Linked DNA regions of Callithrix jacchus. The protein of the gene in region 3 purifies or fractionates together with the protein of the main gene of each other region. This does not show direct contact. Links are inferred from orthologs where the notes say so. Each region holds a gene or a part of one and is shown on either strand. Other genes may lie near its edges.

Region 1 (5,661 bases), on a different chromosome or scaffold from region 3:
CAAGTGTAACACCCCAGATCCAGATAAAGCCACTGATGCTTCATATGCAAGCCACGTGAAAATGGCTTTATGATGACTAGGACATTTACCTTCTAAAAATGCCCACTACCCAGGTCATGGTAAATGCGGTGGTTAAGGGTGGACTCCTTAATGTGGATAACCTTACCACTGCAAAATCAAAAGACAGTTCGAGAAGCCTTACCAAATGTGCTGTCTGTTTCCTCTCATAGGACTTACAGATGCTAATAAAACCATTAGGCTAAGAGAATAGTGAGACAGAGGGCAAATGGATTCATCATGGAAGGTGGAAATTTTTAAATGGTTATTAAGAAATAAGGTAGAAGGATGTGGTGGCTCATGCCCGTAATCCCAGCACTTTGGGAGGACGAGGCTGGATGATCACGTGAGCCCAGGGGTTCAAGACTAGCATGGGTGCCAAAGGGAGCCCCTGGTAGTTTCCCAATATTAAGGGGTTCCAACCAGGTTTGCTATATTTACCCCAGTTTGGAGAAATTCTAAGTCAGGAGGCAGATTATAATGAGAAATCGAATCTGAAATTGATGGGGCAATAAGCAGGTGAGTCAAAAAGATAAAGACTAACAGGCCGGGTGTGGGGGCTCATGCCTGTAATCCCAGCATTGTGGGAGGCTGAGGCAGGTGGATCATGAGGTCAGGAGATCGAGACCACCCTGGCCAATATGGTGAAATCCTGTGTCTACTAAAATACAAAAAATTTGTTGGGTGTAGAGGCACGTGCCTATAGTCTCAGCTACTCCGGAGGCTGAGGCAGGGGAATCACTTGAACCCAGGAGACGGAGGTTGCAATGAGCCAAGATTGCACCACTGCACTCCAGCCTGGTGACAAAGCAAGACTCCATCTCAAAAAAAACAAAAAACTGACAAATGGGCAAGTGTCTCTTGGATGAGGACCCCAAGTTTTCTGTATACAAGTAGGTAAAATGGTCAGGGAGTGGTGAAGAGAAATTCCTGGGTCTCCTTCATATAGAAGCCCCAGGCACAGTGGTACCAAGAGCCATTTGTGAAGCCCTGAAGAGGGCTACAACTAGATTAAGAGAAGGCCAGTCATACTGGTTGACACCTGTAACCCCAGCATTTTGGGAGGCCGAGACAGAAGGACGCCTTGAGCCCAGGAATTCAAGACCAGGTTGGGCAACAAGGTAAAACCTCGTTGCTACAAAAAATTTAAAAATTTGCCAGGCATGGTGATGCACATCTGTAGTCCCAGCTACTCAGAGGCTGAGATGGGAGGATCACCTGAGCCCTGGAGGTCGAGGCTGCAGTGAGCCATAATTGCAGCACTGCACCGCAGCCAAGGCGACAGAGTGAGATCTGATCTCAAAAAAAAAAAAAAAAAAAAAAAAAAAAAGAGAGAGAGAGAGAACACAAAAACGTGTTGACACTACTACGAAAGTTGGAAGCCGTGTCTCCTATACATAAATGTTTTATGGGAATGGATAATATGTCTGGCTGGGGAACACTTCCCCTACCTAGAATTGCAAAAACAAAACCTGTTGATCAGGTCCTAATGGAAGCTGCAGTTAGAAAAGTGAGGGTTGGCTGGATGTGGTGGCTCGCCCCTGTAATTCCAGCACTTTGGGAAGCCGAGGTGGGCGGATCACTTAAGATCAGAAGTTCGAGACCAGCCTGCCCAACATGGTGAAACCCTGTCTCTACTAAAAATACAAAAAATTAGCTGGGCATCATGGTACACACCAGTAGTCCCAGCTACTTGGGAGGCTGAGGTGGGAGAATCCCTTGAACCTAGGAGGCAGAGGTTGCAGTGAGCCAAGATCATGCCACTGCACTCCAGCCTGGGCAACAGAGTGAGACTCCATCTCAAAAAGAAAAAAAAAAAAAGAAAGAAAGAAAAGCGTTGATGGAATTAAGATAAAAGTTTATAAGAGAGTTGGTATATTCAAACATACTTCATGTGAGAGCTCCACACCCCTCTCACACCTACTAGACCTATGCCTCTCTTCATCTCTATCCTTTGTAGCATCCTTTACAATAAACTGGTAAAAGAAAAAGAAAAGAAAAAAAAAAAAACAGAAAAACAGCTGCTGCTAAAACTGAACCGTCAGTTGTAGAAAAGTGCGATGGAATTACCACACACCACTGTTCATAATTCAAAGCTGATCAACACTTTAAAGTAATGGAGAATAAAATAAAAGTCATGTTAATTGTTATGGAATACCTTTGCTTGTCATTGCCTCAGTGAACAGCCTTTAAAAATGTATTTAAAATTTTTTTTTGCATGAGTTTATCAACTAGATTTAACTTATGCTGGCAAAATAAATTGCTTCCACCTTTATATCACTAAAGTTTATAAAAGCATTACAGTTTGCCCAGTCACTTAAGTCAAAAATCCTTTACAATTTTTTAAAGTTTCAAAAGATTCTTAGCTTCATTTATTGGCTCGTTAGGTCAAAGAAGGACTTTTCAGGGTGATGAAAATGGAGGAAGGAGGAGCTCACCTTTCTAAAAATGAGTTTTCAATTACTATAATTATGCATAAGACAGGCAGCATTTCTGGGCCAAGATTTGATGTCCTGGTCCCATGAGAATTAAATTAGAGCCATGCATAAATTTGGGGCAAGTTCTGCAAAAACCACTTCAACTTCTATTGATGCTGAATGAAAAACTCATTGTTAAGATTCATCAACACGAATATATTTTCTAACACACACTAGCCACTCTGGCAACATCCCTTTCACCATTTTCTATCCAAGAAACAGAACGGAATGCATTTCAATCCTGCCCAACAATGACCACCATTACAACTAGTAGGGGAGAGCTCAAAACTAAGAATCCAGTTCACTGAGCCCCGACCTTAAAGTAGCAAGGCCTGCTGGACCCCACATTGCTGGCTATTGTATTGGTTCCCCCACATCTCCAGGGCTAGAAGGACACCTGAACGCTCCCGACACCTTGAGAGAGTGAAAGCCAAACAAACGTTAAGGGCGGGGTGGTGCATGATCGGAATCGTTCACATCGCAGCAAGCCGGCAGGGGACACAGGTGTGCGGCCAGGCCCCAATACCGCCGTTCTCGTCACGCTCCGAGACGACAAGGCCCTTCTCAACCACCACAGCCCTAGGAGGCTCTTACTTATTCATTCACTTGACAATTACGCGAGGAGCACTCTAGCAGGGCCGGCTCCCCGGGCCCCCGCCCTGGTTCGGGTATATCGCAGCCGCCAGGCGCGGCCCGGTGCCGCCCGCGCTTCCCGGGCACTGCCACCCGCGCCCTGCTGCGGTGCGCTCTGGCCACCCGGAGCCCAACCCCGGCCTCCGCCGCACACGAGCGCCCACGCCCCCCGCCCTGCCCGCCGCAGGTCCCCCGGCCTCCGCCCCGCTTCGCCGCCTCAGACCTGCCGGGTTCGTGGGACAAGGGCGGCGCGCTTCTGAAGACCCCCCCGCCCCTGGGACCCAGAGACCACTGTACGCGCGCGATACCTGCCCTCGAGGGCCTCGTGGGTGGGGCAGGCCCACCTATCACTCACCTCAGCCGGGTCAGAACCAAGGGGCCTGCTCTAAGCCGTTTGAAACCGCTTGGGCCGCCGCACACCCCGCAGTGTCCTCGTTCTTTATTGGTCCTCGACGGACCGCCCATCAGCCTTTTATTGGTCCATTTGAAAGGTCTGTGGGCACGCGCCTCCTGCAGCCTTAAGGGAGCCGCGCGCTGCTGTGTTTCCCTCTGGACCTGGCGTTGCCAGCTCGGGTGGGGACGCCGGTCGCTGCGGGGGCCGAGCTGCCGACGGCCCCGAAAAGGAGGGCCAAAGGTGTGTGTAGGGCTGGGCATTTCTGACCGTCAGCATGCCTCAGCCTCCTGAGTTTAATGCTACCTTGAGGAATTTGTCCTACAGATGTACGCAAGTATGCAAAGAAAAAGAAAAATTTCCAATGATGTTTACTGCACTACTGCAGTAATCCCAAGTAGCTGGGATTACAGACTTGCATCACCATGCCCAGCTAATTTTTTTTTTTTTTTCTGGTAGAGACGGGGTTTCACCATGTTGGCCAGGGTGATCTCGAACTCCTGATCTCAAGTGATCCACCCGCCTTGGCCTTTCAAAGTGTTGTGATTACAGGCATGAGCCACTGTGTCCAGCCAGCACTGCTTAAGATTAAAAAAAAAAAAAAAAAAATTCTGGAGGCCAAGCATGGTGGCTTATGCCTATAATCCCAGTGCTTTGGGAGCTGGAGGTGGAGGATTGCTGGAGTGTGGGAGATAAAGGCTGCAGTGAGCTATGATCATACCACTGTACTCCAGCCTGGGTGAAATTAGATGTTTATCAACAGAGAACTTTTTACATGAATTATGGTATATCCATTCAATGGAACTCTATGCAACTGTTTAAAAGAATGTGGTTCATCTACATGCTGGAGTGGAAAAATGCACAAATTTTATTAATTGAACAAAAAGCAAGTTGCAAAACTTGTGCAATGATTTTATTATATATGGTTATAAATATATGTGTTTGAGGACATGCCTGAAAATGGTTAGAACCTTCCTGGAATTATAAGAAACTTAATAGAAGTGGGACTCGACAGGGAAGAAAATAAATTTTTACCATTGATATGATGTGTTTCTTTTTTCCTTCATAGAAGGAGCGAGATGTCTAGTGGGCAAAGTGTGAGTCAGGGCACAGAAACAAGGAAGTGCATCGTATGTATGGGACTGAACATGTGGGGTTGATTTTAGGACTGAAATTATGTTGGGAAGTAGTGGAACACAAGATTGACACAGAAGGTTAGAAGCAGTTCTTAAAGGATCCTGAATACCAGGGTATGGAATTAGTACTTTGTTAAGTGGATAATGGGGGGGGGCTATTAAGAGTTCCTGAGCAAGAGAGTGACAAAATCAGAGTTGTACTTTAGGAACATTAATTAGATTGATTGTCTAAAATGGTTTAGAGTTGGGAACCCAGCAAGGCGTCTGATATGAGGTGTTAGCGGTAGAGAGAATGAGAGCAGATTCAAGAAAGAATGAAAGATTTGGCAACTGACTAAATTAGTTGCAAAGGAGAGGGTGGATCCCATTTAGGGAGGCGAGTCAAAGAGAATTCCAGGATTTGATTGCCCAATGGAAGTAGGCAATCAGAAGAAGCAGGTCTCAAGGGTAGGGTGAGGAGTTTAAATTACAACCTGTTTACTGGTAGGTACCAATGAAGCATTCTAATGGAACCGTCCAAGTAGGCCTAGAAAATATACAATGGAAGCTGGAAGAATAGATGTAGAATCAATGATAAAGATTTGGGGATCACATTGATAGAGTGAATGAGACTACAGACAGGGGATTGGAAAGAGTGAAAGGATGGGCAATGAGGACAGATTCACATGTAGGAGAAGAAAGGAATGAATCAAAGCAATACGGTCATGGTAACCTTGGAGAAATTGATGAGGACATACAGAAATAGTCTTCTTCAGTCATTGGTTGTTGGCATATTTACTTCATTTAAATATTACCAGAAATAAACTGAAGATCACATTTATGGAGAGGGTGTGATGATAATCTGGAATTGGCTTAATAAAGTATGTTTGTACAGTGTGGGTCCTGGAGAGTTTTAGAACAAGACGGCAAAACCCCTTTTTGTCTTGGATGACTTAGGTACATCCCTACTTTAAGATGGGCATTAGAT
Region 2 (5,231 bases), on a different chromosome or scaffold from region 3:
CAGCCTGGGCAACACAGCAAGACTCTGTCTCAAAATAAAGAAAGAAACGTATTATGAGGGCTCTTAAATACTAGAAAACATCTTTAACTGTAATACTACAAAAGATATCAAAACGTAGTTCAATATGAAAATTCCTCCAAATGCAATTAATCCAACAGGAAAATAATTTCTTTTCTACTTTAATTTTTTAAATTAAAAAAAAAAAAAAACCCATGGCATTATGGCATATAAATGTTCAAGGATCAAAAACTTCCTACTCATCCATTCAGGCAATTAAAGTTGCTGCTAGATAACATTTTCAAGTGATTTGCTGTTAGTAGCAATAATGAAAGCCTTACCCTGTTGGGCTGGAGTCTCGGCCTGCTGAGAGGCTGCCTGCAAGCCTGGCTCAGAAGCAGAAGAGTCTCCCAGCACAGAGTTTAGAGGAGTCTCAACAGAGGCAGGGGCAGCTGCAGAGGGAGAAGGGAGAACACTAGGCTTGGATGAGGGAGTTGAGGCAATAGGGGTGCTTGGAGGAGGAGAAGCTTGAGATCCACAGTGTGACAGTGATGCGAGGGAAGGCAGTGGAGGCGGCGGCGGAGGAGCTGCTGGCCCTGAGGTAGGCGGTGGAGACACTGGATATGTTACAGAGTCAACCAGCCCATTGGGTGCTGTCGGTGATGGAGGCATTTGGGGCACAGGAGAAGAAACACAAACAGGGAGGACAGGCCTTGGACCAGTAGCTTTGCCTGGGGGGCTGCTAATCATTATTGGAGGAGATGGAGGGAGGGGCGAAAAATTGGAAGTAGACCAGGCACAGGGCTTCGTAGCTGGAGGCTGAGAAGAGGGTGTGTTCACAGGAGAAGAAGGTCGAGAGTTTTTGTTCAGAGGACGAGGAGCTGTAGCGTAATGGGGAAGAACAGGGTGGAAGGCTGAACCTAAAGATGTTGCAAAACGTGTCGCTGAGTGTCGCAGTGGTGGTGTAGGGGGTGTGGAAGTAGGTGGCAAAGCAGTCACTACAGCATAATCAGGAGTGGCATCTGACACTGGAGCTGAGATGACTTTAGCGTATGATGGAGGAGGTGCTGAAGGAGGCTGGCAACTGGAATACTCAGGAAGTGGAGCATTATACAGGGAGCTGTCTGAAGATGGAGCTGGACAGAAGGTGGAAAGCAGCAGCAAAAGACAGGATAAAAAAGGAGAGAGAAAAAGGGAGCTAGTGAAGCCACAAAACCAGCATTCAGACACAATGTATAAATGTAGACTACAGTTAGTACCAGAGAATTAGGCACAAATGCAAATAACTATCTTCACCAAAGAATATTTTAACTTGTAAATACATTTTGAGATTCAGATGAGGATAAGTTTCCTTTTTATCTAATAAGTGGATTAATAAATTTAATTGACTATTTATCCTTTATGAGAAAAAGCTAGTATTAGTCTTAATTTTTAATATTTAGTCCACAAGAAAAAGAACATTAAAATCACATGAATAGGACCATAAACAGAAGAATAAATTTAGTTTTTTTTGAAACAACAAATAGCAAAACTAGTAAAACTGGCAAAACATTTAATACAAAGTGTGAGAAACCTCCTATTGGATGCTTATTTGTGGGGAAGTTTTGTTTTGTTGGCCATCACTCCAGAAAATAATTTGGTAGCTAAAAATATATAAATTAACTTAAACAATAAACCAACAAACCACTATTTAATTAACCCACATTGAGACTTTTTATATAGGCCATAAGGAATATTCTTAAATCCTACAATGAATGTTAATTTTAATAAATGTTAAAATATCTCAAACTTTCAGCCATATCTTAACCCTTTTGTCTTTCAGTAACATCAGATTTCATAATTTTCACTAATTTTTCATAATACTAGAAAGCATACTTAAATTAACTGGTCAGTTTTAGAGAATATTTTTCACTTACTAATTCTTCCTTCAAAAACTTTAGAATGCAATCAAGGAAATTTCTTGCTGAATGCTACTAGAGCCTATAGTATTTGAGACAATTTATGTGATCTCATATGGGAAATATATTTGAAGTTCATCCAGTATAAAATTTCCCATAAAAACACACTTACACTTTATAGCCAATTTATAGGGAGTTAGAATAATTAGAATGGCAGAATAAAAATTTCCAAGAGCTTTCTTTAAGTCTCCAAGCAATAAAAGCAATATAGAAACAAAAATAAAATGTTAAAGCAGTAATTGCTGTACTTTTTTCATAATTTCAAATTGTATGGCTTAATCCCAAGCATCTCAAATGTGAAATATTTTAACACATGACTGCACAAGAGACATCATCCAAGCTCAGATACAAGAACACAGAAGGGTTTGTAAACTTCTTACCAGCATTTGATATTCTGCGCTCTCTCTCCCATTCCAGCTGTTCCCTTTCTAACTGTTCTTGTCGCTCCCTTTCTTGCCTCTCCCGTTCCAGTCTCTCCAGCCTCTCTCGTTCTTGTCTTTCTTGCCTCTCCCGATCCAGGCGTTCCTGCCGCTCCAGGCGTTCCTGCCGTTCCCGTTCTTGTCTCTCTCTCTCTAGCTGTTCCTGTTCCAGTCGCTCCCTCTCCAGCCTTTCCCTTTCTAACCTCTCTCTCTCCAGCCTCTCTCTTTCCATTCTTTCTCTCTCCAGCCTTTCCCGCTCCAGCTCCTTTTGTCGTTGCTGTTCTTGTAGTTGTCTGAAAAAAAAAAAAAAGGTAAAAACATGCATCTATAGATAATCATCATGAAAAAGTAATTCTTTTCAGCTATGTAAATTATTTCTAAGTCAAATAAAAGCAATGTAGAGCATCCAATCAACATCTCTCTTCCCACGTAATGGCCACCTTGGATAGAGATGACTTACGTTTCATACAAATAAAAAACATTTTTCCTATTGACATCACAGGGGCTGAATGCTTCCGCATATTACACTAACATTTAATTTTATTCTGTACTTTTCATGAGTACTGTTGCAAGCAAATGACTTTTCCAAATAACTCAACATACTTTAATGACCAAGTCATTATTTTAATCATTTAATGAAAAACTTTGTAAAGTTGTAATATCCTTCCTAACATCAAATTTAATTGTACAAATAGTAATTATCATTTCAGAAAATACAATGGCTGGCTACAGCAATAGTTCAATAAACGTTTACTGAACAGGCAGGGTGTGGTGGCTCACACCTGTAATCCCAGCACTTTGGGAGGCTGAGGCAGGTCGATCTCTTGAGATCAGGAGTTCAAGACCAGCCTGGCCAAATGGTGAAACACCATCTGTACCAAAAATATAAAAAATTAGTCAGGCATGGTAGTGTGCACCTGTAATCCCAGCTACTTGGGAGGCTGAGGCAGGAGAATCTCTTGAACCTAGGAGGCAGAGGCTGCAGTGAGCGGAGATCACGCCACTGCACTCCAGCCTGGGTGACAGAGCAAGACTCCTTCTCAAAAGCAACAGCAAAAAAAATGTGCTGAATGAAAAAGAGACAAGAAAGAAGAAATAAACTTTAAATGATTTGAAATCTCATACCCAGAGGCAACATTTTGGGTGTGTATGTCTCTCTCTCTCTATATGTGTATATACATACATATACATCTATATAACACATAGATGTATATATAAACACATATGTATATAATGTATATACATAGGCATATACATATATATATAACATATACATATATACATATTTTTTGTTTGTTTGTTTTGTTTAGGTGATGTGTCCTTCTTCTCTGCCAGGCCCATGCCAAAATGTGGGATGATGACATCTCCCTGGACCTAGCACCTAGGTAATGTGACTATTTTGCATAGGCCCCACATATTTTGAGTACTGTGACATATCACTAGACCAAATACCTAGAAGATTGGAGGTACCTGTCTATGCCTGTAAACAGGGCGTTAGCCTACCATTCTTAGGAGCCTCCTGACATCCCTCTGCATTCATCATCTAGGAGATGTGACTCTCTTCTGCTGCCTGCATCCTGCCCACAGGAAAGATTGTGACATAACATTTGGCTCAGCAACAGGGTGGTGTGTTTTATTTTCCCCTGGGTCTTGCTCACAGGAGTCACTGTGACATTATCACTGGGCACAGCACCCACATGCTGTGACTCTGCTGCCTGTGCCCTCCTTTCAGATCAGGAATGTAACATATCCCTGGCCAACCACCCAGGTGACATGACTCTTCTTCCTGATTTCTTTTTCTTTTTTTTAAAAAGAGAGGAAAGAAGAAGAAGAAAGAAAGAAGAAAAAAAGAATGAGAGAAAGAATTAAAAGAAAAAGAAAAAAAAGAATGAAAGAGAAAGAGGAAGAGAAAGAGGGAGAGAGAAAGGGAGTACTGCTTTATTGCCCAGGCTAGAATGCAGTCTAAAAATGGGTATTGAAAACCTCTTTTATGCCAATAATTGTGCTTAACAATGGAGACAGGAAGGAATAAGGGAGGAAAATAACAAGCAGCCAACCAATATTTCATTTAAACCTGTGAAATGCTATGCGATTGCGAGGAGTGATTTACTTCCAATTTTGTGGTCACTTTTAGAGTAGGTGTGATGTGGTACTGATAAGAATGTATGTTTTGTGTATTTGGGGTGGAGAGTTCTATAAATGTTTATTAAGTCTACTTGTTCCAGGTCTGAGTTCAAGTCCTGGATATCCTTGTTAATTTTCTGTCTCGTCGATCTAATACTGACAATGTGATGTTAAAGTCTCCCACTATTATTGTGTGGGAGTCTAAGTTTCTTTATAAGTCATTAAGAACTTGTCTTATGTATCTGGGTGCTCCTGTATTGGGTGCGTATATATTTAGGATCCTTAGCTCTTCTTGTTGCATTGATCCTTTTAACATTATGTAATGTCCTTCTTTGCCTCTATTGATCTTTGTTGTTTTAAAGTCTATTTTATCAGAGGCAAAAATTGCAACTTCTGCTTTTTATTTATTTATTTTTGCTCTCCATTTGGTTGGTAAATCTTCCTCCATCCCTTTGAGTCTTTGTGTATCCTTGCATGTGAGATGGGTCTGGATGCAGCATACCAATGGGTTTTGGCTTTCCATCCAATCTACCCATCTGTGTCTCTTGATTGGGGGATTTAGTCGATTTAAATTTAGGATTAGTAATAATATATGTGAGTTTAATATTGTCATTTGATGCTTGGGGGCTATTTTGCCCATTAGTTGATGTAAATTCTTTATTATGCTGATGCTCTTTACTTTTTGGTATATTTTTGGAAAGGCTGATACTGGTTGTTCCTTTCTATGTGTAGT
Region 3 (5,673 bases):
TAGATGCTTACATCAGCAAAAAACCAGCAGAAAATCATGCCTCTGGGTCCCTTCCCAGCCTGGATACAGATGAGGTATTCCCGGCTGCCCAGACAGATAAGTTCAGCCGCAGGGCCAAGAGCTGCCTCCAGGCTCCTCCCTTTCCAGGCACACACAGAAGCTGCCGCCATCTGCTTGCAGGTAAGTGCCAGGTCGGCCAGCAGATTGCCAGGCCTCACCCGACAGATCCCTCTGACCATGCAGACTGACTGGCAGATCACACGATGTGGTTTCTTTGCCCACAAGTCTGTCTGCTCTTTCCAGCGGCTAAGGTGCGTGGAATTCAAGAGAAATGAAACTATGGAACGCCCTTCCCGGAGATGGAGTCAAGATGTTTCATCAAATTACACAGGCAAAGATCGAGGCCAATCTGTTGGCAGAGGCACAGCAAAAATGTAAAGTACGGGCTGGGCGGAGCCGCTCACACCTGTAATCCCAGCACTCTAGGAGGCTGAGGCAGGTGGGTCACCTGAGGTCAAGATTCAAGACCAGCCTGGCCAACATGGTGAAACCCCATCTCCACTAAAAATACAAAACTTAGCTGGGCGTGGTTGTGTGCACCTATAGTCCCAATTACTCAGGCTGAGGCAGAACAATCTCTTGAACCTGGGAGGTAGAGGTTGCAGTGAGCCGAGATCATGCCCCTGCACTCCGGCCTGGGCAACAAAGTGAGACTGTCTCCAAAAAAAAACCCCACAAAACAAAAACAAAACACCCAAAAAACATACCAGTTAGTTGGGTGTGGTGGGTGCCTGTGACCCCAGCTACTGGGGAGGCTGGGAAGGAGAATCACTTGAACCCAGGAGATGGAGGTTGCAGTGAGCAGAGATCACGCCACTGCACTCCAGTCTGGGTGACAAGAGCAAAACTCTGTCTCAAAAAAATAAAAGAAAAAGTAAGTTAAAACTTATTCCAAGTATTTGATGATCGACTTTTCTGTTAGTGAACTGACCACATGCTGCACCCTTCAGAAGAAATCCAGCCAACGGGACAGAGCGTGCCTGCAAGAGCTGTCGGACAGAGCGGTGACCTGCACTACGCCCAGAAGTGCCAACACTTACTTGTCCTTCTGTGTCCGCCCTGGGTGAGAGTTTTCCAGTCCCAGGGTGTCACCCTGAGCCAAAGGAGCCTCGAGTTTGCTGGCCATGCTAGGACTCAGAATCCTGTGCGTCTGTGGATCCCGCAGAGGTGTCTGAAAAGTCACCTGTCGGGGGGGAGTGAGGGGGAGGGCGCCCGTTTGTTAGTTCAGCTGTCGCAGACACACCGGCAGTGTTCAGCAGCTCAGAGGTCACCAGGAAAGCAGGACCCAGGGCGACCTGGCCAGCCACACACGGTAGAGGTCACACTTACCTTCATAGCTTTGGCCAGGTTCTTGGGTGGCACATTTTCTTTCTGTGACTCACAAAGAACAGATGATCTTCCGGTAACTTCCAGGGGTGAAAACAGGAAGTCGCAGTTTTCTGTACTTTTCTCACTGCTGACATTTTTGTTTAAGATTTGCAGACTCATTCTGGAAAAGCAGAACATGTTCGTGTCAGTGCAAGAACAACACTACCACGTTCTCTGGACAGACATGCCAGCTGCCCCACAGTGCTGTGGGGGCACAACCCTTTCCTGCAGAGGCATGCTCATCACTCTGGAGGTGACACCTCCCCCAGGTGTCTTGTGCCAAGTGAGGCTGAGAAAGCCTCAGACTGAGACTCACTCTCCAGCCTGGCAGGGAAAGTCATGGGCAGCACTGCTGCCTCCTGGGACCAAGAGCTAAAGGCCTTCAGGCTGAGACAGTGAGAAGGAAAAACCAGGCTTGCAGAACCTCTACTGCCATATTACTTCGTCAGGCAAAGGTCAGGAGACAGGAAAGTCCTGGCCTATAAGAAGCCCAGAAGATCCAGAGGAAGCCGTGGTCTTCCCACAGGCCTCTGCATGTGGCGTGAGGCACCACCAGGCAGCAGAGGGCAGAAAAGCAGGACAGCGGCTCTGCTCTGCTCCTCCCACCAGGCTAGGGAGCAAGACCAGACCAGGCTGAGAGGGTGAAGGTCCAGAGCAGGAGCTGGGAGAGGCGCGTGGACAAGAGAAGTCCAGAGCTGAGCAGCAGGTGCCAAGGAGCATCTACATCAGGCCCCCGGTCAGGCCCAGCTTCCAGGGCTTCATGCTGGGCACCCACACACCTGCCACCCTTTCTGCCTACAGCGTTCCCAGTCTAAGAAAAAACGTAGGCAGAAAGGCTGCCAGAGAGAACTGAGTGTCGACCTGGGCAGGGACCCCACGGACACCTGGTGATGGGGGACACCTGGGAGGCTGTGATTCGAAGAGCAAAGTTAGGGAGGGTCCTGGAGAAGGAGGGGCAGCCGGGCCAGGTCGGTGCTGTGGCTTCAGAAGCCCACTGTGGTGCTCTGTGTGGGTGGGGAGGGAAGCAAGGAAACCTCAGGCTTCTGCCCGAGGAGGAGAGGCCAGACCAGACCCGAGCCCGACCACTGGCACAAATGGGACTTCCCGACGACGCTTAGGTTTTTGGCCTTAACAACCGGGTACAGCGCAGGGGAAGGGGTGCTGGATCGCTGGGGGACCCGCAAGCCTGGAACTCAGGGAGAAAGTGACTCGGAGGAAGCCTTTCGACGGCCTGGAGGAGCGCGGGAGAGCAGCAGGCCCAGGCCTGGTCAGGCGGGGCTTTTACTGACTATGGAGCCACGAGGGCGGCTCTGGGCAGACAAGGGACCGGCCCCAAGCGGGTGCGTTCATTCTACTCGGGAGCACAGAGGGCTGCGGCTGCGTGGAAGCGGTCGGGGCCCAGCTGGAGTTGACACCAGGACGGGGGCCCGAAGGGACCAAAAACCAACGAGGGGCTCCGCGAACTGGGAGCCAACAGAGAGCCAGAGTGCGCGGCCGAGAGGCAGGAGAGGGTCGAGGAGAACAAAGGACCTCGGGGCGCTCGCTCCGCCGTCGGGCTCGGCCCAGCTCCAGTCTCCGCCGGCCACCGTCCAGGGGGCCCAGCCCGGCAGTCAGTCCAGGGCTGGGTCCCATGACAGGGCACGGGACGGGCTCCGGCGGCGGCCCCGGGAGGAGCCGTGGGGGACCCTTCCCGGGGAGAGCGGCGGCGAGGGCGGGAGTGCGAGGGCCGAGGGCGGGGCGGGACAGCCTCGCGGTCCCCCGCCCCGGAGCCCCAGCTTCCCAGGGCCGTATGGCCGCTCGCCTACCTGCCCGGCTGCCCGTTGCCGGGCTCTGAGCCCGCGCCGCCACCGCCAAGAAAGAGGGGTCCGCGCCTGCTCCGCGCCGAGGACCGAGTCTGGCTGCCGCCGCCGCCGCCGCTACCGCAGCCCTTGATGGCCGCCGGCGCGCCCGACTTTCAAACGCGGACGGTTGCCTCTACGCAGCCAATCAGCACGCAGCCGGGGGCGGGACCGCAGCAACGCGGGCGCCCAATAGGAGCCGTGCCTCACCGGCCCCGCCCCCTCGTGCGCCGACGGTTTCGTTTCCGGAATGGAGGACAAGTTGGGAGCATCTGAAGCTGGGACCGCTGGCTCGCAGTCGCCAGGTGAACCTCCGGCTCAGCAGCGTACGCTACTGGGCGGGGCGTCATGACCAGGGCCTGAGAGCCGCTCGCTCAGGCCTAAGTTTCCTCAGCTGTGCATTGGGACCAGGTGCGGCGCCGCCTCCAGGGCCGGCCCCGAAGAGGCCGCACCCTCACGGGGACTGCATCTCCCAGAGTGCCCTGCGGGCGGCCGGACTCCATCTCCCAGAGCACCCCGCGAGCGGCCGGGCGGCGGGACTCCGTCTCCCACAGCGCCCCGCGGGCGGCGGGGTGGCGGGGTGGCGGGGTGGCGGGGCTGCGGCCGCCGCTCCCGCAACCGACAGGCCCGGGACTGGGCACAGTGGCCTCGCCGGACAGCTTCCCGGCGGCGGCGCGATGGACAGCCCCGAGGTGATCTTCCCTCTCGCCTATCTGGTCTTCGCCGTGTGCTTCGTGTTCACGCCCAACGAGTTCCACGCGGCGGGGCTCACGGTGCAGAACCTGCTGTCGGGCTGGCTGGGCAGCGAGGACGCCGCCTTCGTGCCCTTCCACCTGCGCCGCACGGCCGCCACGCTGCTGTGCCACTCGCTGCTGCCGCTCGGTGAGGCTGCCCGGGCCGGCCGGCCGCGTCCCCTCCCGCGCCGGGCTTGCTGGGAGGCCAGGAGGAGGCCCCCGGCGGCTCCCCGAGGCCGCAGCTGGGGAGAGGTGTCAGTACCCCAGTCCGGAGGGACCGCGGCGTCGGCTGAGCGCGCTTAGGGGCGCCGCTGGCGCTGGCTTGCAGGTGACGGGAGCCCAAGTTCAGAACCTTGGGCAGGTGATGCCCCCGTCCACCTGGCCTCAAGTCCTGGACCGCCACACGCCTGGGGGTCACAAGACCGAGCAGCCTGTGCTTACCGTGGTTGGGGGCAGTGGCCAGAAGGAAATGGTTGACTGATTTCAACAAGGGGTCGGAGAGGCTGTGTTGAGGGTGGCACTGCTCTAGGCCTTGGAAAGTGGGTGTTGGCAGATTTGGAGGCAGTTCCAGTTTGGGGGCACCCCAGGGGCGGAGGCTGGGGAGGGCCTCTGTATGCAGGTGGGACGCTCGTTGTCCGAGCACTGCTGGGCTGGGCCCAGGTGCACCTGACTGTGACGGAGTGCCGACAGGTGCTAGCTGGGCCTCTAGAAGGTCCCTCTCTCAGCAGGTTGGATGATGGAAAGGTGGGAGGTTGGGGGAGCAGTGTCTGGAGGGGGATTCCAAGGAGGACAGGGGCATACGCAGCTCTGGGAAGACGGATGGCCAGTGGCCGGCCAGGTCTGCCGCTCTGGGGACACAAGAGGGGTGACCATTCATCCTGGTATGAGGATGCAGCCGCCTGGGCCCAGGAGAGCTGGAGGCAGGTGTGGGGTGGAGGTGCCCAGGTCTGCCTCATGGAGACAATGGGCTGGGGCCCCACCTGAGAGATGGATGGGGCTGAGTCGGGCTGGGGCCCTGACCAGACCACTCAAGGGTACTAGGTGGGTTTCTGTAGCCCTTCCAGCTGCACCCTCCCCAGAGGCCTTTGAGGGACTGGGCGCCCCACTTCACCAACGAGGGACCGCAAGTGACTCATGGTGGCCCCACCTGGAGCAGACAGCCCAACTGGCCTCACAGCTGGATATCAAGCTCCTTTTATTTTTAACTTAGTTGGAAAGTTTTCAAGCTTAACAGTTAGCTATCGTTATATATCATGTTACCTTGAAACACAGTGACCTGGCCTACTCCAGATGTGGGCTATTGTGATGTGCCAACTGGAACCTGCTGCTGCAGCTCCTCACCAGCTCCAGAGCTCATTCGGACCTTCAGATTGTCCCGGATCCAGCCAGCAGGGCCCTGAAGCAGGCTCCGTGTCCTCTGGACGTGCCCCTCATTCTTTGACACTTGCTTCCGTCTCGCACACAGCTTCTCAGTCTGGGATGGGCCATGTTTTTCAGCCTCATCAGAGGGATCGGGGTTGAGAGACCAAGGTCCTGGCAGGCCAGGGGTCAGGTCTGCGTGAGGACAACTGGTTGTTGTGTTTATTTCTCCCTTTCTAGAAAGGCTTTAGTAGTTTTTCAGTACTTACATATTGTTTGAACCTAAAGCAGCAAATTAGAAATCTTTTTGCCAT
Region 4 (5,926 bases), about 46 Mb from region 3:
TACTCTTATGTTTTGCAACCATGAGGACGCAACAGAATCCTTTACTTTTTGGTCCTGGAAGAGATAATTGGAGATCTACAACTTACAAATCCCAAAGTAAATTAAGGACCAGAGATTAAGAGACCAGTGATGAAGGTCAAGTGCATTTATGCTAGAGCTAGCACCTCACATCAGGCTTTCTGATTCTTAATTCATTGTTTCACACTACAACAAGCTTTTCTTTCCCCACAAACGTTAGTGCTCACTTCATAATGTCCGGTGAACTATTCTTTTCAAGGAGTATATTTAAAGCGTTCCCATTAGAGAAACTGACTAGTTGGAATCTATTTTACAAAGCATTGAATGCAAGTGAAAACTGCTATACATGAAGTAGTCATGATTTTTAATCCTCCGGCAGAAAAGGTCATAGACTGGTCAGAAACAGCAATGATATTTAGATGTTCACTACATAGATAATAAATATTACTTGACAATTATGCTAGCAAACAATCACATTCTTTGACTAGGCCTGTATAGCTAGAAAAATACTCGACTTATAGTTAGCCAGCAAACTTTTAACACGGTAAGTTTTTTGCTATGAATAAATAGCTACTTGGTTTTAGTAGAACTTTCAGTCTACTTAACTTTCAACAAACCAAGTATTGAGTGTCCACTGTATCAGTGTACTAGGCATGGTAAGAAAAAATGAACAGTCTCCTCAAATCAAGTAAACTGACAAAAACAAACAAAAAGTAATTCGTAGAAAAAATGCAATTTAAAAAAAGTGCAAACACCTGTTGAGAACTATTGATCAGGTAGTGCTAGAATACGCTAGAATAATTAGATTTTTGTGGAATTGTAGGGAATAGCTTTCCCGAATGAGTGAGTATGGGTTTTAAGATAAGGAATCAGCTATGGCAGGCAGGATATTCCTCGCTAGGAAAATATGACACTAGAAGAACTAAAGGGTAGAGGCAGGTCAGTCATGGCTTGCGTCCACACCCAGGTGTAATAGGACTGGATCATTGTTATTAAGCTAAGGATGGAGATGGCAACTGAAGAAAAGCTGCAAACACAAGCCAAAGCAGTTCACAACCGAAATCTGAAGACCAACGAATGTGATCAAAACAAAGCATTTAAGTTTTATTTGGGTTTGCTGCCACATTATAAAGGCAGACTTCACATTCATACTATTTTCTGTATTCTTCAGTATCTGTCACCGTGCTTAAGTGCTTTTCATACACAACTTTTGTTTGTTTGTTTGGAGACGGAGTTTCGCTGTTGTTACCCAGGCTGGAGTGCAATGCACGATCTCAGCTCACTGCAACCTCCGCCTCCTGGGTTCAAGCAATTCTGCCTCAGCCTCCCGAGTAGCTGGGACTACAGGCGCGCGCAACCATGCTCAGCTAATTTTTGTATTTTTAGTAGAGACGGTGTTTCACCTTGTTGACCAGGATGGTCTTGATCCGTTGACCTCGTGATCCACCCGCCTCAGCCTCCCAAAGTGCTGGGATTATAACAACTTTTTAAAAAGTCAAGACACACTTGATCCAAAGAGCAGCCTGTGAGTCAATAAACGGAGAAAGGCAGTAAATAAGTGGTTTCTATCGCCCAATTCTGCGCCAGTATGCTGTAAACTTCAAGTCGGGAAAACTGTGTTTAAACGGATGAGATAATGCCTTTAAAAGTGCTTAGCACGGTGTCTGGCCAGTAGGAAGCACTCAAGAAATTATGATTATTTGACCTTGGACCTCTCTTAACTGTCTGAAACTGGGGTTTCTTATTTTCAGGAAAAGAAACAGGACACAGGCAGTCTCTCAGGCTCCCGTCAGCCGAGACAATTTCCAATTAAAAACAGGCATCGATTAGATAGTTGCTGAACAAAGTAAATCGTCTCTCTACGGCTGGGCTGAGCGCCCACTGATATCCCGCCCGGAACGGTCCGAAACGCCGAGACCAATAGGCGGGGCTGATCGAGGACCGTGTGCGCCACCTCAGCCCCGCCCGCGCCGAGCCTTCGGTTCGCCTACAGGCCTGCAGAGACCCTCCCTAGCCAGCCCGGCCGCGTCCCACATCCGCCGGCACGCCCCTTCCGGCCTAAACCCCGCCCCGTCACGGGCCCGCCCCGCCCCATAGGCCCCGTCCGTGGCCCCGCCCCGCCGCGAGCCGGCGCCGGGTCCTCTCAGCGATCGCGGGCGGTCGCGTCCACCCCCGACGCTCTGAGGTCACTGACTGGGCCGGACTGCGGGGGGGCGGAGGGACGGAGGGAAGATGGCGGCAGAGGCCGGATATTGGCGCCGCCTCCCCCAATCCCGGAGCCGGCGCAGATGAGGCAGCTTGGCTGGGGCCAGCGGCGCTTTGGAACCCGAGCTGGGGGTACCCTGGCGGTGGGGCCTGGTCCTGCTATATGCCGGCGCCTCGGCTAGAGTGAGCGGCGGCGACGCCTCTTTCCTCCGGCTCTTTCCCTGTCTCTGCGAGAGCGAGCGGGCGGCTGAGGCGGCGGGGCCGGGATGGAGGACGTTAACTCCAACGTGAACGCGGACCAGGAGGTGCGGAAGCTGCAGGAGCTGGTGAAGAAGCTGGAGAAACAGAACGAACAGCTGAGAAGCCGCTCGGGGGCCGTGCAGGGTGCCGGCTCTATCGGGCCTGGCAGCCCGGTTCGAGCCGGCGCCTCCACTCCCTCCTCTGGAGCGGCGTCTCCTCGGGGCTTTCCCTTGGGCCTCAGCGCCAAGTCGGGCGGCGGGGCCGGGTCGGGCCCGAGGCGGACGAGTAACGAAGAGCTGCGGGACGCCACCTCCTTGTTCGCGGCGGGCGAGGGCAGCTTGCTGGACGAGGTGGAGCCGCTGCGGCCCGACGAGCTGGAGCGTTTGTCAGGCTGGGAGGAGGAGGAGGAGAGCTGGTGAGCGCGGGGCGCGGGGCGCGGGGCCGGAGCTGGGCGGAGACGGGCCCGGGGGCGGAGAGCGTCCTCTGAGGGTCCCTCTGGTCCTGCGCCTCGCTTTGTGTAACCAGGTTCGCTCTGTGGTGGGGGACTCACGGTTTTTTTGCTTTGGCAGAGGGAAGGTCAGCTGGAGTTGGGGGTTCGAGGCGTGCGCAAGTAACAGGGTTTTAGCTCGTTCTTTGGCTTGTGGACTCTCTGGGTGCTGGATCCTATTGGGGTCTGTCGGTTGGCGCAGGTTGAGAAGGGCTGTTCGCCTGGGGAGGAGTCGGAATTGGGAAACTGCTTTGTAGGCAGGGATCCTGCTTTGTGTAAGATACTGGCTTTCGGATGGTGGCCCTGGACATTTTGGATGTAGGGGAGGGGTCTGCTTGATGAGGTATCACCAGGTGCTGGGGGTCGGGGGCAGTACGAAGTCGTCTACGTCTATGCAGTGGTTAGTGTGTGGGACCCATTTCTGTCGGGTATGGGGAGACCGTGTGGATCAGCACCCCCGCTTTGGGTAGTGGGGTAAAGCTTGCTTTGTGTGAAGAGGGCAGAGGATGGTGCTGCTTTGTGTGAAAAGTCAAGGGTGGAACAAGAGCCCTGGCTCTTATTTTCTAAAACAAGAATTGAGTCTGGCGTTTTGCATAGGTCTGTATTGAGTTATCACATCCATCTTTCATTTCCACGTCCTCCTAGGGGCAGAGAAAAAGAGTCCTATTTTAAACTCTAAACCAAAGCTGTATTGTCATAAGCTACTTCTTTATGAAATTGTGATCCACACCTTAATAATCACTTTCGTAAATAGAAAGGACATGGGAGGCTTTCCCCCTCATTTTATTATAAAGATGTCTGTGGGAAATTCCTTCTCTTAAGTTTTAACTTTTAGTTAAAATGTCTCTGCTCTGTTAAAATTAAAACTTCTGATTTAGTGAAATACTCTGGTATTTCAGGGTTGGAACTTTGCAGTCTTCTGAGGTTATTTAAGAGCTTTCCTGGATTCAGGCCCTGGTTTTGCCACTTACTAACTTTATGACCTTGAGCACTCTGAGCCTCACTTTGTTCTTCTATTTGATGGAGAAAATAATAGCACTTACCTCTATAGAGTTAATGAAAATTTAGTAAGATAATCCATGTAGGCATTTAGCACTGGATCTGGCACATAGTAAACTCTAAAACTAGTATTTGTTTTCAAGCCTAGTTATTTAAATCAAGAAATATTTTGTGAGCTTTTACATGATGATGTAGGAGATGCTGAAGATTGTGTTGATACGTGTTCATAAGGCAATTATAGTTTATTGAGAACTAAGTTTTGTGCAGTTAAGTAAACTGGAAAGTGTACAGTGAATTACCACCTAAGAAAGACTTGCTTTCTTTACCTTAACAAAGCTCATGTTTGACTCCTGCTTACTGTTTTGATCCTAGCTTCATATCTTGATATTATAGATGTCATATATTCTTCCTGAGATTTGTGTGAACTGAAAGTTGGATAAATCATTTAAAATGCACTGGGGTATGTGTTTAGGGTAAAAGTTGTAGGGGGAGGTTGTAATTTTGTGCAGTTAATAAACTGGAAAGAGTGATAAAACAAAAAGTACTGACGGTGCTCTGTAACTGGGAAGAAAATAGTAGTCCAAAGTAGTTGGACCAGACTTAAGGAGGTGACTTTGGAGTCTGTAAGTGACGAAAGAGCGGGAAGGGCATTTTATGCTCTGACAGCTACAAGGGCACAGTCGGAGGTATTTGTAACTCCCAGTTAGAAGATTTGAGTAACAGAGGTATTCTTAAGTATATAATGACAAGCCTTTATTTTATTACCACGTGATATCAAATGTTATTAGAGCTGACTATGGTAGTGACAGTTTTTGATATAAATGTGAAATTGCATTCTCCCAGAGGAATCCTGGGTATGTATGCACTTGAAAAGAACCCAGAATTATGTAAATATTGTCACATGGCTCTTGCAAGTGATGATAATAATGATGCTCATAATAATGAGGATTAGCTGCACTCATCAGCCCATTTTAGATTATGTATTATTAGAACACATGGAGTCTACTTGGAGAAGCCGATTAAATCTTTGGCTGCTTTGGTTCCTGAACATGAGCTTTGTTAAGGTAAAGAAAGTCTTTCTTAAATACTATACCTGGAGTTTCTTTTGACTAGATGATTCCTGCTTACTGTTTTGATCCTAGTTTCATATCTTGATATTATAGATGTCATATATTTTTCCTGAGATTTATGTGAACTGAAAGTTGGATAAATCATTTAAAATGCACTGGGGTATGTGTTTAGGGTAAAAGTTGTAGGGGGAGGTTGTCAGTGGCAGGAAGATTCAAAGTAGATTTTTTTCTTAGCAAGCTAAAAATCTACCTTCTGTAACTTCTAGTTGTTGCACTTTCTTTTTGATCTAGAGGAATGAAATTCCTTGGATGTAGAATTCCTCCCAAGTGTGTGTGCCACAAAGTGCTAGTTCTGAAGATGTCCATAAGTGCCATGTAGAAAAAAAGTGGATGGGTTCCGGGGGTTGAATAAATGCAAGAAAAACTGGGTTCAACAAAAATAAACAGTTTTCTTTAATGCTAGGCTCTTGGAGATGTTAGTGTGTTTTGAACATAGTAAATCTCTAGAGAGTATGGTTTGGTCGTAAACTTAATGAGCTCCCAAGGAGCTAGTATCTTACAGAACACACATAGAAAACAGTGCTCTACAGCAGTCACTTTCACACTTTTGTTTTTTTGGACTCAGCTTCATGATAAGAAATAAAATTTAACTCATCATCTGGAATTTACATGTATATGAATAACTGAAGCAAAAGTTTCACAAAAGTATGATTACTCTTACAAGTGATATGCTTTGATATTTTCCATTCTGTTCTGTTTCATTAGAAAAAAATCCTGGTTATTACCCAGCTAAGCTGATTTTGTAACCCATTAACAAGTTGCAATTCTCACTTTGAAAAACACTGTTCTAGAATAACTCAGCAAAGTCTAGGGACGAGAACTAACATCATTCTGTATCACAGTGTGT

What was found.
Region 1: the proteins of TACC3 (region 3) and CKAP5 purify together in Homo sapiens (co-immunoprecipitation; 5 studies listed by BioGRID and IntAct, with this or other methods). This does not show direct contact. The link is inferred for Callithrix jacchus from reciprocal best matches to the Homo sapiens genes TACC3 and CKAP5.
Region 2: the proteins of TACC3 (region 3) and ENAH purify together in Homo sapiens (co-immunoprecipitation; 3 studies listed by BioGRID and IntAct, with this or other methods). This does not show direct contact. The link is inferred for Callithrix jacchus from reciprocal best matches to the Homo sapiens genes TACC3 and ENAH.
Region 4: the proteins of TACC3 (region 3) and SLAIN2 purify together in Homo sapiens (co-immunoprecipitation; 3 studies listed by BioGRID and IntAct, counting the BioPlex papers as one, with this or other methods). This does not show direct contact. The link is inferred for Callithrix jacchus from reciprocal best matches to the Homo sapiens genes TACC3 and SLAIN2.

Annotation. Positions count from the first base shown.
Region 1 is NC_133511.1:111,901,359-111,907,019, forward strand, and holds the start of CKAP5 (cytoskeleton-associated protein 5), read right to left. Parts: upstream 3,584-5,661; 5' UTR 3,476-3,583; exon of another isoform or gene 3,391-3,475; intron 1-3,390. UniProt on the Homo sapiens protein: Binds to the plus end of microtubules and regulates microtubule dynamics and microtubule organization. Acts as a processive microtubule polymerase. Promotes cytoplasmic microtubule nucleation and elongation. Plays a major role in organizing spindle poles.
Region 2 is NC_133520.1:23,669,949-23,675,179, reverse strand, and holds part of ENAH (protein enabled homolog), read right to left. Parts: intron 2,668-5,231; coding exon 2,336-2,667; intron 1,134-2,335; coding exon 339-1,133; intron 1-338. UniProt on the Homo sapiens protein: Ena/VASP proteins are actin-associated proteins involved in a range of processes dependent on cytoskeleton remodeling and cell polarity such as axon guidance and lamellipodial and filopodial dynamics in migrating cells.
Region 3 is NC_133504.1:191,422,369-191,428,041, forward strand, and holds the start of TACC3 (transforming acidic coiled-coil-containing protein 3), read right to left. Parts: upstream 3,391-5,673; 5' UTR 3,234-3,390; intron 3,148-3,233; exon of another isoform or gene 2,959-3,147; intron 2,808-2,958; exon of another isoform or gene 2,313-2,807; intron 1,550-2,312; 5' UTR 1,549-1,549; coding exon 1,390-1,548; intron 1,244-1,389; coding exon 1,101-1,243; intron 1-1,100. Other genes in the region: TMEM129 (E3 ubiquitin-protein ligase TM129), read left to right, coding at 3,944-4,148. UniProt on the Homo sapiens protein: Plays a role in the microtubule-dependent coupling of the nucleus and the centrosome. Involved in the processes that regulate centrosome-mediated interkinetic nuclear migration (INM) of neural progenitors.
Region 4 is NC_133504.1:145,482,842-145,488,767, reverse strand, and holds the start of SLAIN2 (SLAIN motif-containing protein 2), read left to right. Parts: upstream 1-2,233; 5' UTR 2,234-2,489; coding exon 2,490-2,878; intron 2,879-5,926.